Xenopus tropicalis: one gene and its partner. The protein of the gene in region 1 purifies or fractionates together with the protein of each later gene. This does not show direct contact. Links are inferred from orthologs where the notes say so. Each region holds a gene or a part of one and is shown in the gene's direction. Other genes may lie near its edges.

What was found. The genes of interacting proteins can lie anywhere in the genome.
Region 2: the proteins of rcc1 (region 1) and ranbp1 purify together in Homo sapiens (affinity purification with mass spectrometry; 3 studies listed by BioGRID and IntAct, counting the BioPlex papers as one, with this or other methods). This does not show direct contact. The link is inferred for Xenopus tropicalis from reciprocal best matches to the Homo sapiens genes RCC1 and RANBP1.

The regions. Positions count from the first base shown.
Region 1 is NC_030678.2:78,657,477-78,665,527, reverse strand, and holds the start of rcc1 (regulator of chromosome condensation), read left to right. Parts: upstream 1-3,749; 5' UTR 3,750-3,824; exon of another isoform or gene 3,825-3,989; intron 3,990-4,761; 5' UTR 4,762-4,769; coding exon 4,770-4,848; intron 4,849-5,347; coding exon 5,348-5,535; intron 5,536-5,608; coding exon 5,609-5,788; intron 5,789-6,437; coding exon 6,438-6,534; intron 6,535-6,846; coding exon 6,847-6,969; intron 6,970-8,051. UniProt on the Homo sapiens protein: Guanine-nucleotide releasing factor that promotes the exchange of Ran-bound GDP by GTP, and thereby plays an important role in RAN-mediated functions in nuclear import and mitosis.
Region 2 is NC_030677.2:155,372,759-155,380,895, forward strand, and holds the start of ranbp1 (ran-specific GTPase-activating protein), read left to right. Parts: upstream 1-2,989; 5' UTR 2,990-3,044; intron 3,045-3,165; 5' UTR 3,166-3,413; coding exon 3,414-3,428; intron 3,429-3,665; exon of another isoform or gene 3,666-3,867; intron 3,868-5,017; coding exon 5,018-5,154; intron 5,155-5,591; coding exon 5,592-5,749; intron 5,750-7,553; coding exon 7,554-7,682; intron 7,683-8,137. Other genes in the region: trmt2a (tRNA (uracil-5-)-methyltransferase homolog A), read right to left, coding at 148-256, 635-1,248, 2,942-2,989. UniProt on the Homo sapiens protein: Plays a role in RAN-dependent nucleocytoplasmic transport. Alleviates the TNPO1-dependent inhibition of RAN GTPase activity and mediates the dissociation of RAN from proteins involved in transport into the nucleus.

The DNA.
Region 1 (8,051 bases):
AGTATGGTGACTTTTCTTGAGCCAGGTTGGAGCTGCAGAGTGCCATTGAGTCCTATGGGAGGCTTCCAAAATCATGCTAAGTCATAAAGTTTCGCCCGCCGCTTACGAGCGCTCAATACGAAAAAGTCGCGACAAGATACGAGCGAATCGTAATGGCTACGAAAAACTCGTGTTTTTTTACGAAAATTGTATTGGTAACAAAAAAGTCGCAACAATTTCCGAAAAGTCATAAAGGCGCCGAAAAAATCGCAAAAAAATACGAAAAAGTCGCAAAATGTTCGTTTTCCAATTGGAATTTTTCCATTTCGGATTCGAATTCGTGTCTTAGTAAATCAGCCCCTGGGAGTTACTAGTAGAAGCTACTTGTCATGGCTAGAAAAATAGACAATGCTGATCATTTACTAATATTGTCTCTGAGTGTTTTAGCAGAAGCAATTCTCAGTATTGTCTATGGCAGGGTGTTTTCTGGCATTTAGTACCTGTGACAAGTAGCATGTCTTCACCCTTATACTTGCATGCATGTATTAGCACGTTATCAGGATACTTACAAAATGAGTCTGTCTAAAGCTGGCCATACACGCACCGATACTATCATACGAAACCTCGTTTCGTACGATATTCGGTGCGTGTATGGCATGTCGGCGAGTCAACCGATATCGCAGGAAGCTGCTGATATTGGACGACTCGCCGATCGGCCAGGTTAGAAAATTTTGATCGGGCGCCATAGAAGGCGCCTGACCAAAATCTGCCGTCAGGGCTGAATCGGCAGAAGGAGGTAGAAATCCTATTGTTTCTACCTCCTTATCTGCTGTTTCAGCCCTGACTGTGTGTGGCGGATCTGACGATGTTTCGTGCGACCGATGGTCGCACGAAACATCGTCAGATCACCACATGTATGGCCAGCTTTAGGCTAATGCCACACGGGAGTATTCTAAGCCCCGCTACTGTAAATTTAGCCTGCCTTGTGTCTGCACCCGAATGAATGGAATACGCTTGCGTGCAGGCACATGTAGCCAATATCCGGCAAAATCCGCGAGACTTCATATTTTCGTTCGATATCAACTACATGTACCTGCACCCAAGCGTATTTTATTCGGGTGAAGACACAGGTAGGAGCATGTGGCGTGATTTTCGGGAAGCGTTTTTTTGGCTTGCCGAAAATATACGCCATACACTAGGTGGCAAATTCATTAAAGTACGACAGGTCCGAATACAAAAAAAAATTGCATTTTTGCATATTTTCTGCAATATTTTCGTTAATTTGCACAACTTTGTACTTTGTGACAATTTGCGCAACAATTTGTGCGACAAAATCATATTTGTCGCAATGAGAACGGAAGTTTCGGATTTATTCAAGTTTCGGTATCGTGACTTGTCATGGGCCAGGTTGGAGCTGCAGAGTGCCATTGAGTCCTATGGGAGGCTTCCAAAAACATGCACTGAAAGTTCAAAGTCAGAAAGGTTTTCCCACCATTTACGATCGCCATTAGTATTAGCATTAGTAAAGTGCAAAGTGGCGCAATACAGGTCAAGCAGGTGCAGGGTAAAGCTTGTACATCATCAACCTAGGGGTCACAAGTGTTGCTGTTGCCCAGCTGAAGTGTGCAACAACTTTTATTGTATGCTTCAGTTGTGGACTAACCCTGCTGCTATAGGTGATGTGCCGGCCTGCTCCTCACTGACATTGTCTCTGACAGCACCATGAGAGGCAGTTTGGTGCAGGAATACTTCTCAACCTTGGGATGGGTTGAGAAACTTGCAGGTTAGGGTTGGCACTGGCCAGAAAATTCGCAACTCACTTATTGCTAAAAGGCATTTTTTTGGAAGAATGTACCTTTTTCTCAATAGACTCATTACCTTGTATAGACAACTGTTTGTGCAAATATATATATATATATATATATATATATATATATATATATATATATTTATGTGCCAGTTATCTGAAGAATTACAAAACGTTAAATATAAACTCAATTACTGGACTGTGTGCTTTGTGCCAATCCCCATCCTGGTCTTTAACCTTCATGGTTGTGATTTAATTGTTTTGCTAATCCTATATAATACTACATCTGCGGTTACTTAAGAGATTTTTTTTCTCTTCCTTTCAAAAGAATAAAGATCCTCTCCAGGTTTATCACAATGATGTACCATGTTTAGAAAGGAAAATTGATTTTTTTTGTGGTAACATGATATTATTTATCAGCTAACAGAGTAATAGTGCAAGCTTTTAATAAAAGAATAGGAATTCAAATATGACAGCTCCATCAAATTGTTTTCATGTTGTCATTTTTATGTTGTTTACAAGTTCTGGATAACAGAAAATGTAATAAGGAAAACATAAGTATCTCTTGCATTTCCTGAACCCAGCAACTTGGTAGCAAATGTGCACCATGAATATTCCATAGAGACTTGTGAAGTGTCCATTTGATAAGGCCAGGCTCTTTGAAGTTTTGTTTTAAAGTGTCGTACTGTAGTATGGGTCTCTTAAAGGAGAAATATTGGATAAATGGGAAAACCCCTAACCCTGTAGGCAATTATGTATAATATACGGTGCTGGTTTCCCTTTGGGCTAAACATTAATCCTATCTGTAACAATGGCCCCTTTATTGGAGCTCCCTATAGATCCTATCACTTCTCTGTCGGCGTTTGAAATGGAGAGTGGGCGTGTCCTAATGGTCCCTGCCAGAAGCACAGTAGGAGGGGGAGAGCCAATCACAGCCCTGCAGTCACACAAGCAAAGACAGGCTTCAGTTCCCTATCAGGGCAGCCTAGCTGCTGATTGGTTCCTATCCTACAGTGCAGGGTACGGAGAGCCACCGGCCCCCCAGCTCATCCAGAGAATTCAGCCAGCAGGAAGTGGAACAGATGGGCGGGGCTCTAGGGGTGTTTTTGTGGAATTTCTCAATAAATCAGCAGGAAACACAACTTTTTAAAGCACAATCCTTCTATATCTAGAGGAGTTTAATTCACTGGTACATTCATAATTTTTATAGGATATGTCTCCTTTAAGATGGAGGGGATATAGGGGCCTGTTTATCATACTGTTTAAAAAAAGGTGCTCACTTACATTAAACTAACAATGTGATTGCAAGGCATCACTGTGTAAATAAACATATTTATCAAGCTATGTATTTATTTTAGATGACCACATAAAATTTCAAGAACAAGAATTGTAATGAAATTTGCCCATTAGCATTAATAACCGTGCAAGATTACAAGTGGTGCAAAATGAAGTAAAATACAGTAATGGGGAGGTGTCATAAAAAACACAATTTTTCAAACCTAAATCATAAATCACATGGTCACTGCCTGGGAAAGCAAAACAAAAGTATAGCAAGATTTCCTGTTTCCTTCACATAGGAGTAGGCACCTAGTAGGTACACGGGCATGTAATTACATCCCTAAATTGTGTTTGAAGCAAGCGACTTGGAGGGGATTGAAACAGTATAAGAGATTTCCCTGGTATTCGAACTTTAAGCATTCATATCCGTCGCCTATGCTACTAGTATTTAAGATTTGTGGTCTACTCAGTTTTAATTGACTAATAAAACCTGTGGCTTTTCACATAACACTGGTTTGGGGACTGGCGATACTCTGCCACTGCCGAATAAATTTATTCAAGGTCCGTTACTTTCGGGTTTTTTTATTGAGTTCTAACCACGGAAACGCCCATTTCGTGCAGACAAAGGGGCGTGGCTTACAGCCGCCCTTCCACTGTACTTTCCGGCGTCGCTTGGTACTGACGTCACGGATGCGCCGCACGTGTGAAGAAGTTGCTTAAAGGAGCTGAGCGCGGTTAATTTTGTAATCTTGGAGCACAGGTGAGGTTGTGGGGGCTTCAGCGGCACAGCGCTGGAACTTATAGCTATAAGCCGATACCGATAGTGTATATTGCTAGAAATCCTTCCCGGATAGGACAAACTACATGTATCTGGTTTAGCTGAATGTCTTACTAGCGTTTGCATAACCCGCTGACATCTACATATGTGAGATATTTATAATAGAAGCTGAATGTACTTTATCATTGCTTGACAATGTTAGCAGGTGTTGAGACTTGCTTTAGAGCGATTACTGGGTGTATCTGGACCTTTTTTTACTGTTTAGACAAGTTAGTATGAGGAGGTTAGTCGTTTTTAAGATTAGGTACTGAGTGTAGTGTTTTCTCTTTCATTTATCTGGGTGAGTAGGCGCCATCAGTAAGAACATGAAGCGGAGCTGTTATTGCTTTCCCCAATAAATATTTTATACAGTGCTGCTACAATTTTTAAGCCTTTGATAAGTTTATGTTCAGACAGGAAGTTTACCCTAATTTAAGGATCATGTTGTGTGTTGTCATGTGCCTGTTGTCAGCTAAATGTATAAATGAAATGCCTTTCTATATTATATAATAGTATGTGTTACCGAAAACATTCTGGGCAAACACTAAATGGCATATCTACTCATGCCTTAAGCATATTTATTGGATATTAATATGCATGCTTTTCCACTTTTTATTTAATGTTCAAATTATTATTTGGGCCTCATCAACTTGTGATATTCCAATAATTATTTGGACCCCTTGAAGAGGCTGAATGGGGAGTAGACTTTATTTTAGATTACTGCCATAAGGAATACATTGCTAATCCTATTAACTTTGATTATAAACAACAGGTTGGTTCTTGAAGTCACAGGCGGCATTCAGTTTTTCTAAATGTGATCACATACAGTCGGAGAAAAGACTAATGCTTATGCTTACTGATATTACTGTCTCTTTTCAAGACTTCACTATGAAAGGCAAAAAGGCTTTGAAGAGAGCTATTGTGGCTGAAGAAAGCAATGGAACATCAGTTGTTAAGAAAACTAAAGGTTAGTCATCCGTTGGCCAATTGTGTTTACATGTAAGAATATGGGTTTCTGTTTTTAGTTTTAACAGTAGTTTGTACAGCTCTTGCAAATTTAGGAAAGTGCCAAATTGCATTTTTTCATTTATCAATGATACCTTGGGAATTTGGCCTAATGCAAGAAGAGTCCAAACCATAGTTTGCATATACAAATCTTAGAATGAAAAGACCATTGTCCACAAAATTCTTTTAAAATTTTCCTACATTAAATTTATTTGTACTTGTATAAGCTTTGGGTTATTTTTTTTTAAACAGTTTGCCTTTTAATAAATGCGTCCTCATATGTCTAAATACATATAGTGCCAGCATCCCTTCTCAGGGGGATTCCCCGTAATTGGTTAAGTGTATTTGTTTTAGATAGGAAAATATATGGTAATATTTGTATTTGCAAGTCTCCCACTTGCGTGAAAGCAATCTGTTAACTGGTTGAAGTACAGCGTTTCTTTTTATATTTTTCCCAATAGTCAACCATTCTTCATATGGCACAGTTGGGGGGCAGGTATTAACCCTTGGACAGGGTGATGTTGGGCAGCTAGGGCTTGGAGAAGATGTGATGGAGAGGAAAAAACCTGCTCTGGTTACCCTTCCTGAGGACATCGTACAAGCAGCAGCTGGGGGGATGCACACTGTGTGCCTTGGAGCATCTGGAAGTGTGAGTATTTTTAAACAAAGAATGTGTATACTTGATGCTCTATCTTGTTCACTTACCCTTTTTTCCCCGTCAGATTTATACATTTGGATGCAATGATGAGGGTGCCCTTGGTCGTGACACTTCGGAGGAGGGATCGGAAACACAGCCTGGCAAGGTGGATCTTGTAGAAAAGGTGGTGCAGGTGTCTGCAGGAGACAGTCACACTGCTGCTCTGACAGAAGATGGCAGAGTGTTCGTCTTCGGATCATTCAGGGTACTAGAATATTTTGGTGAATTTTGTCAAAGTGGCACTCAACATCTTCCAGTATACCATATACTGCCAACTATATCCACTGTAGCAATACTATGTTTTGTTTCTCATAAAGTAGTAAGAGCTGTTGGTAAGGAAGGTGACACTGGGAATTTGTTCCACTTTTATTGTAATATCAAATGTTTACAGCTTTGTATTAAGTATATATTATTATATATTAATTATGTTTAACATTAAATATTATAACATTTAAATTACAATGTATTGACATGTCCAAGTAATGGTTAGGTCAGGCATTTTGTTACTAACCTAACTAGCTCTGAGGACATAGTGAACCATAGTAGAATACGGTTATTAGTAAGACTGTTCATTAGCTGATTAAATATTTTCAAAAACCTAATCACTTTTTATAGAATTACATTCCTAAACCTTGTCTTTGTTATTTGTAAAGGTCACAAAGTTGTTAAAAGTAAATTGAAAAGTTGCTAGCACCTCTGTTACTATATGCAAGGTTTTAGCAGGAATTAAAGGACTTATTGAGGGCTTCCCTGAGACAATGTGAACACATTGTTGAACCAAGAACACTGCTTCTATTGTGGAAGAATTCCTTGCTCTATAGGACCTACTGCAATATTTTTCTTTTCTTTTGTAGGATAATAATGGTGTTATTGGTTTACTGGAACCTATGAAGAAAAGCATGGTGCCTGTTCAAATGCAGATAAATGCACCAGTCATTAAAATAGCCTCTGGTAAGGGAGAATCCAAGCATGCAAAAATGACTTTAGTTTTTTTTCTTGTCAGTATCACTTTACTTTTCAAAATATTAATGTACATTTAAAAGTTACCTATAGGTCATGTTGATCATTTTTCGCTGATAGTTCTGCTTTTGTAAGTAATTGTTACTTGAAGTTCTTAAATCTTACTGTTGCCAACCTGACTCTCCCTTTCCCATGCAAAGAGTGTAATAATATATTTTAAAACCGTTTAATTTTAAGGTGTCAGTATCGCTTAAAAATTCTATAGTTGTCTTTCTCAATTTTTTTTTCTATTTACCATGGCAGGTAATGATCATCTTGTCTTGCTTACGGTGGATGGTGACCTATACACATCGGGATGCGGAGAGCAGGGTCAGCTGGGCCGAGTTCCAGAAAGATTCACCAATCGTGGAGGGCGCAAAGGACTAGGTTGGGTGACCATGTTCTTCCTGGCCTGTAGACCAAATTCATTTAAACCAGTGTATAATCATAAGGACAAATTACATCTGTTGTAGACATTTCTTATGAGGACATCTTTTTAATTTCCTATGGTCTGGTTTCTCTTATGGTTTGCACATAAATTTTAGGACCTTTGGATTAACTCTAACTGGAGAACAGAAATAGAAAATACACTCCTCTGTAGCAGTTGTGCTTACAAATCTACTGCACAGATATAACAATCTGGCAGTTTGTTTTAAATGTTTAAAAAAGGGGAGTGGTCAAAACTGGCTTTCTTTAGCTGCCATGTAGGCCAGAAAAATTCTGGCCCTTGGTACCACAGAAGTTGGACTGTACTGTCTTAAAGGACAAGGAAAGGCTAAGTCACTTGGGTGTGCCAAAATGTTAGGCACCCCCAAGTGACTTTAATCGCTTACCTTGTACCCCGGTCTGGTGCCCCTGTTAGGAGAAAACAGCACCAGCCCAGGGTACCTGTAGCAAGTGCTTCCTCCTTCGTTCTGCCGGGACCCCACGACTGGCGCATGCGCAGTAGAGTGAAAAGCCTACTTCTCTGTTAAAGTTTGGTTTTTTCACTCTACTGCGCGCGCACAGGAAGGAGGAAGCGCTGCAGCTACCCTGGGCTGGTGCTGTTCTCTCCGAACAGGGGCACCAGCCCGGGGTAAAAGGTAAGCGATTCAAGTCACTTGGGGGTGCCTAACATTTTGGCACCCCAAGTGACTTTGCCTTTCCTTGTCCTTTAACTAATGCTTCAGACCTATTGCACTACTAACAGTAATACGCCAGTCACTTATGTGGTCTCTGAATGGAAAATCAAGATTAAATATTTAAAAGCTGGTTTGTTAGGGGGGGGGGGGAAATCCCTGGCATGACCTAATGTGGGTTAGTTTTATATCCTCTGTTTAGATATCAACTTGTTTGCAATATGGTAACTAATGGGTGCAGATAGACAGGTTAGAATATCCTCCATTAATGCCTTGATCTCTCGGCTATTCATGCATCTTTATGTGTTTACTTGTAGTAATTTAGCAAAGTAAATGTAATTTTTTTTTCCC
Region 2 (8,137 bases), on another chromosome or scaffold:
AAAATCGGATTGGTTTTTCCGCCGTTTACTATCGCTCAATACGAAAAAGTCGCGCAAAATACGATAGTCGCAACGGCGACGAAAAAGCAGAATGGAGAAGAACATGGTTTTGCTTTGTGTGGGACTGAGCATATCATTAAGCAATACCTGTATTGGAGATGGTATGACACGTTCCAGGGGACAGCAGAGTCTATTGTACTTCTGTTTCTGCTCAAACAGCCAAGGGGCTAGTGGCTTGTTATTCACTCCTATTTCCCTGGAATCGAATAGAGGCACAAACTGCTTTTACTAAAACACCAGCACCAACAAAAAATAAATATAAATGCTTACAGAGTGCATATACATAAAGTTGATTTGCAGGAATAGTTCTTCTTCACTTACCTAAGCCTGACATCACTGCTGCAGCAGCTATGCGAAAAGTGTTATTATTGGTCATCAATGTGAAAATGTGTTTAGTGGTTTCTATGGTTACATGCTTAGGTATTATGGAGCACAAACCTTGCACTGTAGGTGCCCTGCTGTATGAATAGGTCAGTATAGGTTTATGTGTGTGCCAGGTTCACTTGAAAGAGTTGAACTTGATGGCCTTTTTTTAACCCAACTTAACTATGTAACAAAAATACTGATACATTACTTTGTTAACTGCTTCAATACTTTGCAACATTCTTCCTCCTTAATTTTCAGCTGTTCTTCATATGGAACTTGCCACAAAGGAGTCACTACATCCGAGATCGTTTTACTGAGGGGCTCCTCCTCTGCATCATTGTGTGCAGCCTGACGCTTGCTTTCTGGCTGTTCACCATCTCCTTCTTCCTGCTTTCTTTTTTGCATTATGGGGTCAGCCCTGGGCTTTGCAAGTCGAACACTAAGTGTACGGTTCTTCCACTTCACCCCATGTATGACTTTCATAGCTTTGTCACGCTCTTCTTCACTTTTAAAAGTCACAAATGCAAAAGTTTGTTTATTCATGAGTTTAATCTTATGAGGATTTAGCCCATACTTGCCAAGGAATTTTTTTAAGTCATTAAAGCATATGTATTTTGGCAAGTTTTGTATTTCTACTTTGAAAATCTCTGAAGTGAAGAGATCGTCTTTGATGTATCTATAAATCCCTGCTTTATTCTTGCTGTCTGGACAGGACTCAGCAGAAGATTTTGCCATTTCATTGCTTCCATCTTCCTCTGCTGGGGAACCTTCTTGACTTATTTCTTCAGAGATGCAGATGTTTTCATTCGCGCAGGTTTCCATCTTCAAATCAGAACTGAAAAAGTTAACATTTACTAGCTTGAGTGTATCATTTATGATAGCTATTATAAAGTAGTATATATCTTGTCTTACTAGGGTAAAGCCAAATGTATTAGTTCCTCTCAGGACATATCAAGAACCAACACCATTACACTACATCAAATGAGTCCTACTGGTGGGTGTCTAACTCACTTGCTCTTTCCATGTTATCAAAGCACTCTACCTCGCCCCTTTATGCCAACCCTGGGTACCAGAAGAGTATGGTGGCAATTTGTTGAGAAGAGCACCCCAAGGCTGGTGAATTTTTGGGAGAGGAGAAGCGGGAGCCCGGGGTCTGAAGTAAGCAATCAGAATCACTGTGGGGTGCCTAGCTTGACACCCCAGTGATTAAATCAGAATGCAGTTTATATTCCTGAGTTTTACAAAAAAATATAAATATTTTTAAAACTACAAAAAACAAAGGAAATGTAAACCTTTAATGCAACTTAATTTAATATTAATCAGAGTGCTCTTCTAAGCATGTTTGTAATTTTTAAGATATTAGCAAAATGTCACTGCTACATTAATAAAACAACACTGCCGCCTGCTGGTCAGTAATTCCTACAGCGATACAGTTGGGAGAATTTTTCTGATGCTGCTCTACCTATGATTAAGTGTGCCTGCGCATGAAACGTGTTAGGCTTTGTTCTCTTAAATCAGCCAATAAAATTGGATTTTAACTGACTCTGATGGATGGTCCTGGTTTACGAGTATAGCTGGTTTTTGTATGGCTACTTAGGAAAGATTCTACTGAGAAAAGTCATCTAAGGTTTCTCCTGTTTCCTAAGCAGATTAAGATCATGAAATGTTCCTTGTTTCTAAACCTTTCTCTCAACTGTATCACAGTCAGAAGAAGTGACCAGCAGGTGTTGTTTCAATTTCACTATATTAGCACTATAACATTTTCCTTTTCCCCTAATAGCTTGAACATTGGGCAAAAATTGTATATTGCTCAGATGTGCCCTCTGAGCAATCAAACATCCTATAAGTACAAGAATATAAATGTAATCAAAAAATATGCCTTAAAACCTGTCCAGTCCTAAATCATGTTTTTCATATGTGCCATTCACTAAAGGGACATAATCATGTTTATGATTTACTAATCATGTGCTCAAACATATTGATGGTTTTATGCAGAAGCCAACTGAATAACAGACTTGGGGAGAGCTGACTAGTGATACACTGCTTCAAGATTAAATAACACACACATATAAAAACGAATACGGTTTTCAATTGTAATAAAACAAACCCACAGAAAACATCTCATTAAGCCGTATGTGGGAAAGTTTTATAGGATAACATTTTCTTTACTTGAGGGGGAAAACAGCATGTAGGTGGAGATACCCATTGGAACATCATGTTTAACATCCCCCGACCGAGCACATAGACAAAGACTGTTGGAAGGAATACAGTTATTGCAAAACTGCATATTGTACATGCATATAAGAAAACACAACCACATTCCTATGGAATGGAAATGACGGAAGGCAGTAAAGGGCTTAGTTCAAAGCCATCATCCATTTTAGTACCACGACATCGTATTCTCAATGGAAATAAAAAGTTGTATATTACTACATCAGCATTTAGATCCCGGCTTTATCTATAGCAAGAACAGGAATACATATCGCGCAATAAGACTCTAGCACGCAGCACTTACACAGGAGCTGCCATGCTGGTGACGTAAACGGAAACTGGCATCCGCCATGCCGCAAACTCCCGGAAGTGCTTAGGTGGCTGCAGTCATTATTCTGTCATTCATTGTAAGTTTCGTTGTGCCCCGATACTGCAGTACTGAAATGGGTGACGCATAGTGAGACAAGAAACCAGCGAATAGCATTGTATCAGCAATGTAAGTGTTTTTTGTCTTTTTAATTTTACTAGGGTTCCGTAGAATTGAAGAGGTTAGCGGATGTGACGTTGGGGGAGGAGAAAATCACGAGACGCCATCTTGGAGGAGGGCGCGTAGTGTCGTGAAGTGGCGTATAGTGCAGAAGGCGCTTGAGGCACGCACGGCATTGTGCAGGAAGAGAGGGTGGGAGGAAAAAAAACAGCGCGAAACCTGCGGAACAGACAGCGGCATTGAAGAAACAGGAGACCCACCCGCGCAATCTGCCTCCATCCTCTGCCCGATGGCCGATACCAAGGTATGGCTAGTAATATCCACTTCCCCCTGACTCACCGCTTTTTCCAGGATGCTTTTGCGCTGGTTTGTAAACGGGACAGAGTGATTTGTGTTGGCGGGCCGGGTGGAGGGGTGCCTAGCGTGTAGTACTGCAAGACCTGGGCGGGGTAACGAAGCATAAGGTGTTGCGAACCGGCAAAGTTGAGTGAGTGAATGGAGTGTGCGAACAAAGCGAGGGTTGGGCCGGAGGAAAAGTTACCTGCAGTCTAACTGTACGGCATGTGTGATTTGTGCGGCTCTTTCCCGCAATGCTCCGCACCCCGGGGAGCCTCCCGGCAGCAGGGAATGGAGAGTCCTAGTGAGGCAGAGACTTGCCCATCCTATGGGGCAGCAGCCCGCAGTGCTCAGTACACGTGTAGCCGCTAGTGCATATAGTAATGCGCAGGCCTACAGCATCGGCACCCCTAATGTAGTACAGCTAAAGCCCCCCCCCCCCCCCGGGACTGTCATTGCACTAGTCTTCTCATTGCTACAGGGGCAGTTGCACATACCTGGGCATAGCGTATTCCCGCCCCCCCCCCATGGCACTGTAGGAAAGTGGCACTTCTATACTTTGGTGCCTTGGGCAGCTGAACTGTAATCTGTTGTTGTTACCTGTGCAGGTAGCCAAATAAAGTTCAAAATGATAGATATTAATGAATCAGAGTCAGTAAGTATGGGGTGCAGCCAGAGAAGACTGATGTCATGTCTTTATGTGGTCTCCCAATCATTCCCTACACCACATTTACATTTGGGGGGCCCATGTGAAGGTGGGGGCTATATGTGGCTTACTGCATTCTGGCCTAATTACAAATAGTTTGCTCTCTTGCAAAGGCTGCAAGTTTAGCCTCCCCAGAGAAGCTACATGACTCAGATTTCAATTAGTCGCCTTACAGTTTTTATATAACTAGATTTGAGTGCTGCCAGAATCTGACTAACAGAATGGTCCAGGCCCATAGCAGTCCTTTCACCTCTTAAGGTGGCCATACACGTGGCGATCCGACGATGTTTCGTACGACCATCGGTCGCACGAAACATCGTAAGATCCGCCACACACCATTCAGGGCTGAATCGGCAGGTAAGGAGGTAGAAACAATAGGATTTCTACCTCCTTCTGCCGATTCAGCTCTGAAGGGAGAATTTTGGTCAGGCGCCTTCTATGGCGCCCGATCAAAATTTTCAAACTTGTCCGATCGGCGAGTCGTCCGATATCAGCAGCTTCCTGCGATATCGGTCGACTCGCCGACATGCCATACACGCACCGATTATCGTACGAAACGAGGTTTCGTACGATAATATCGGTGCGTGTATGGCCACCTTTACACAGAATGTCTGAATAGGCAGTTCCTGAGACTTGGTGCAGCTTTCATAGGCAACATATTTCCTTGACATTAGGCCTTACTGTAGTTTAGGTTATCGCCAGTTTAATTTTTTCGATGTCATTGGCTTCCACTTTGAGTTGTTTTAAAAAGCTAGAAGCAGCCTTGTGTGGCTTCACTTGACTGCTAATCTACCAACAGCACTTTAGGGAATTGCTTGTAATTTGCTTTATAGTTATTTTGTTTTTCTTAGGATACGCAAGAAGAGCATGAAACCTCTGTTGAAAACACAGAAGATACAAATCATGACCCTCATTTTGAACCAATAGTTTCACTGCCAGAGCAAGAGATTAAGACACTTGAAGAAGATGAAGAAGAACTATTTAAAATGTAAGTGTATCTTTGCCTTTCTGTCTTATACAATATTCTGTAAGAGTTCTTGTTGGTTACAAGACATATGATCACTTGATAATTCAGCTGAGCAGCATGAAACAATTGTATTTCACATGAAACCATTAGTTTAGTTTTGCTGTAACGCTTTGTTTTAATTGACTCATTTAGAATTAGTAGTACATAAACTCCCCAATACTTAATGGGTGTCAGGGCAGCATATAGTTAAATTCTTAAAATATTATTTTCCTTTAATGAAACTTGATTCTTGCTATGTGACAGTACTTCTGTAGAGGTGGATGAATGAAACCTTTGAACCCATCATGCACTTAACATGAAAACACTGAATTTACTCTTGAGCTTACATTCCAGAACGCTTCTACAGTCTAGCTATATTTGCCACATGTTTTAGATGTAACGTGTAATTCCTTCCATAGGCGCGCAAAGTTGTTCCGATTTGCGTCAGAAAATGACCCACCAGAATGGAAAGAAAGGGGCACAGGCGATGTTAAACTGCTGAAACACAAGGAGAAGGGAACAATTCGTCTCTTAATGAGGAGAGACAAGACTCTTAAGATATGTGCAAATCATTACAGTAAGTAAATGGGAGTTTCATAAGTTATTGGCTAGTTCTTTGATTAAAAAAAACAAGAACAGATGTAAATCAGTTCAAGATTCATGGCAACTAGATTGAAATGTCTTTAAAGTTAAAATACACAAAAGCCAAAGGAAATGATTCTTGGTGATGCTATATGACTCAGACCAAGACGGTTGCCCATTGCTTTTACTTCTGGCTTCATGTGAGGTGCATATGTTTGAGTAGCTATTGAATGCATGAATTGAGATTAATGCAAGGCATAAACTGCAACCCGAGAAAGTAACTGCATTATGGAAACTAGCAAAAACAAAACAAAGGTAAAAAAATACATTCCTTTTTTATTAATGTCGTTAGCCAAACAGTTTGAGACAGGTGGTTAGTAGATTAATTAAAATATTAATATTAAGGCTCCAGCACAGTTGGATATTTGCTTTTGAACTAGCTCACTTTTAGACTAAGGTGGTTTTATATCTTCCTTTTTTAGACATGTCAAATACCTTCCCTTTAAATAAACCTTAGGTATGATGTAGACAGCGATATCCTGCATAAACTTGCAGTTTATCTTTGTTTTGATGTGGACAGGCTCCTCTCTATGAATGTGAACTTACACAGTTTGTGGTATCTTGACTCTTAACAAGTTGGAGTAAAAAAAAATTAGTTAAACACTGGTAACAGGAATTGCTGATGGAAAAGATTGAATTCTTAAATGTATTTTGGGTTCAGGTCTCCAATAGCAGTCCAGCATTTCGCCATACTTCTCTTGGCATATAATAAGCTTAAGGTGTATTAAATTATATTGCCCACCTTTGCTATAGATTTATGATATTGTAAAGATAAAGAACAAATTTACATAAAGGGTTGATGTTCAATGGAATGTCATATGCCAGAAATTCAGCTCTGCGCACATTCTTACTGGACTGAAAACATCTGCTGGTGGTCTGTCTCCTGCTCTTCCCATCCACAAATAAGAGTAGTAGTGCAGGTGTGCCTTTCTTCTATTCTCACTGGTGGCTAGGAACAAAAGATAGAAGGCTGGTGTCTAAGTTAAGTTGAAATGTGTGCGAGTGGAAGCCAGGGAAGGAAATTAAATTTCAGCACTTTGTGTATGAAAACAGTAGAGAATTTTAAATAAGTTTATACTGTAAAACAGATCCCTAAGGCATATGAATGGCACTAACCGATCATAATTTTTTGCCTTTAGATCCTTTTAAAGGCACAAGATTGTAGTCATGAGTGCTTTTTCATGTAAGTGAGATAGGGTTTTAGGTGAGCGCATCAAAGTACAATGTACATTTTACAACTTGAGTGACAGATTAAGCAACTATAATAAATATATTTTATAAAGATATAATTTGCATGATTATGGCTTTTGTATGTGTGGTTGTCTGACAGCATCGGACACGGACACTATTAGCCTGCTGCTTACTGAGCTTTGTGGCTTAAATACTATTTTATAAAGATTTAAAGTTCTATTGAACGAATCTGTAGGTCTTCAGCCACATTGATATCTGCTGGTGTAGCGCATAGAAGGTATGGTACTTAACTCCTTGGTACTCTGTGTACAAATACCAGTGCTGGATATGGGGCTCTACATGTAAGATTGAAGTGTCATTCGTTGGCTTGTGCAGTCAAAAAGGCCTGTCCACTGATACACTGAATATGAGGCACATGTTGTCTACACATGCTTTGTCAGGGTCGCTTGCACCTAGACAATTATATTTATCCTTGTTACCAGCATGTGGCAGAGATTAGTTGACTTGTGCTCATAACACATTTACATTTCCTCTCTCTCTTTTTGTAGTTACCCCTGCAATGGAACTGAAGCCTAATGCTGGAAGTGACAGAGCATGGGTTTGGAACACATACGCTGATTTTGCAGATGAAGCACCAAAGCCTGAACTACTGGCTATTCGATTTTTAAATGCAGAAAGTAAGACCAGAACATATTTTGTCATCCATGTTAGTGATTTGTAATGCCTATGGATTATTATAAACACATAAGGCATAAAATTAAAGGAACGGTAACACTAAAAAATAAAAATGTTTTAAAATAATTAAAATATAATGTACTGTTGCCCTGCACTGGTAAAAGTTGTGTGTTTGCTTCAGAAAGACTACTGTAGTTAATAGAAATAGCTGTTGTGTAGCCATGGGGGCAGCCATTTAAATTGAAAAAAGAAGAAAAGGCACAGGTTACATAAGAAGATAACAGATAACTGTGTAGAATACAATGGGAATCTGCTACTTATCTGTTATCTGCTTAGTAACCTGTGCCTTTTCTCCTTTTTTCAATTTAAATGGCTGCCCCCATGGCTACACAGCAGGGTATTTGTATAAACTATAGTAGTGTTTATAAAGCAAACACACAACTTTTACCAGTGCAGG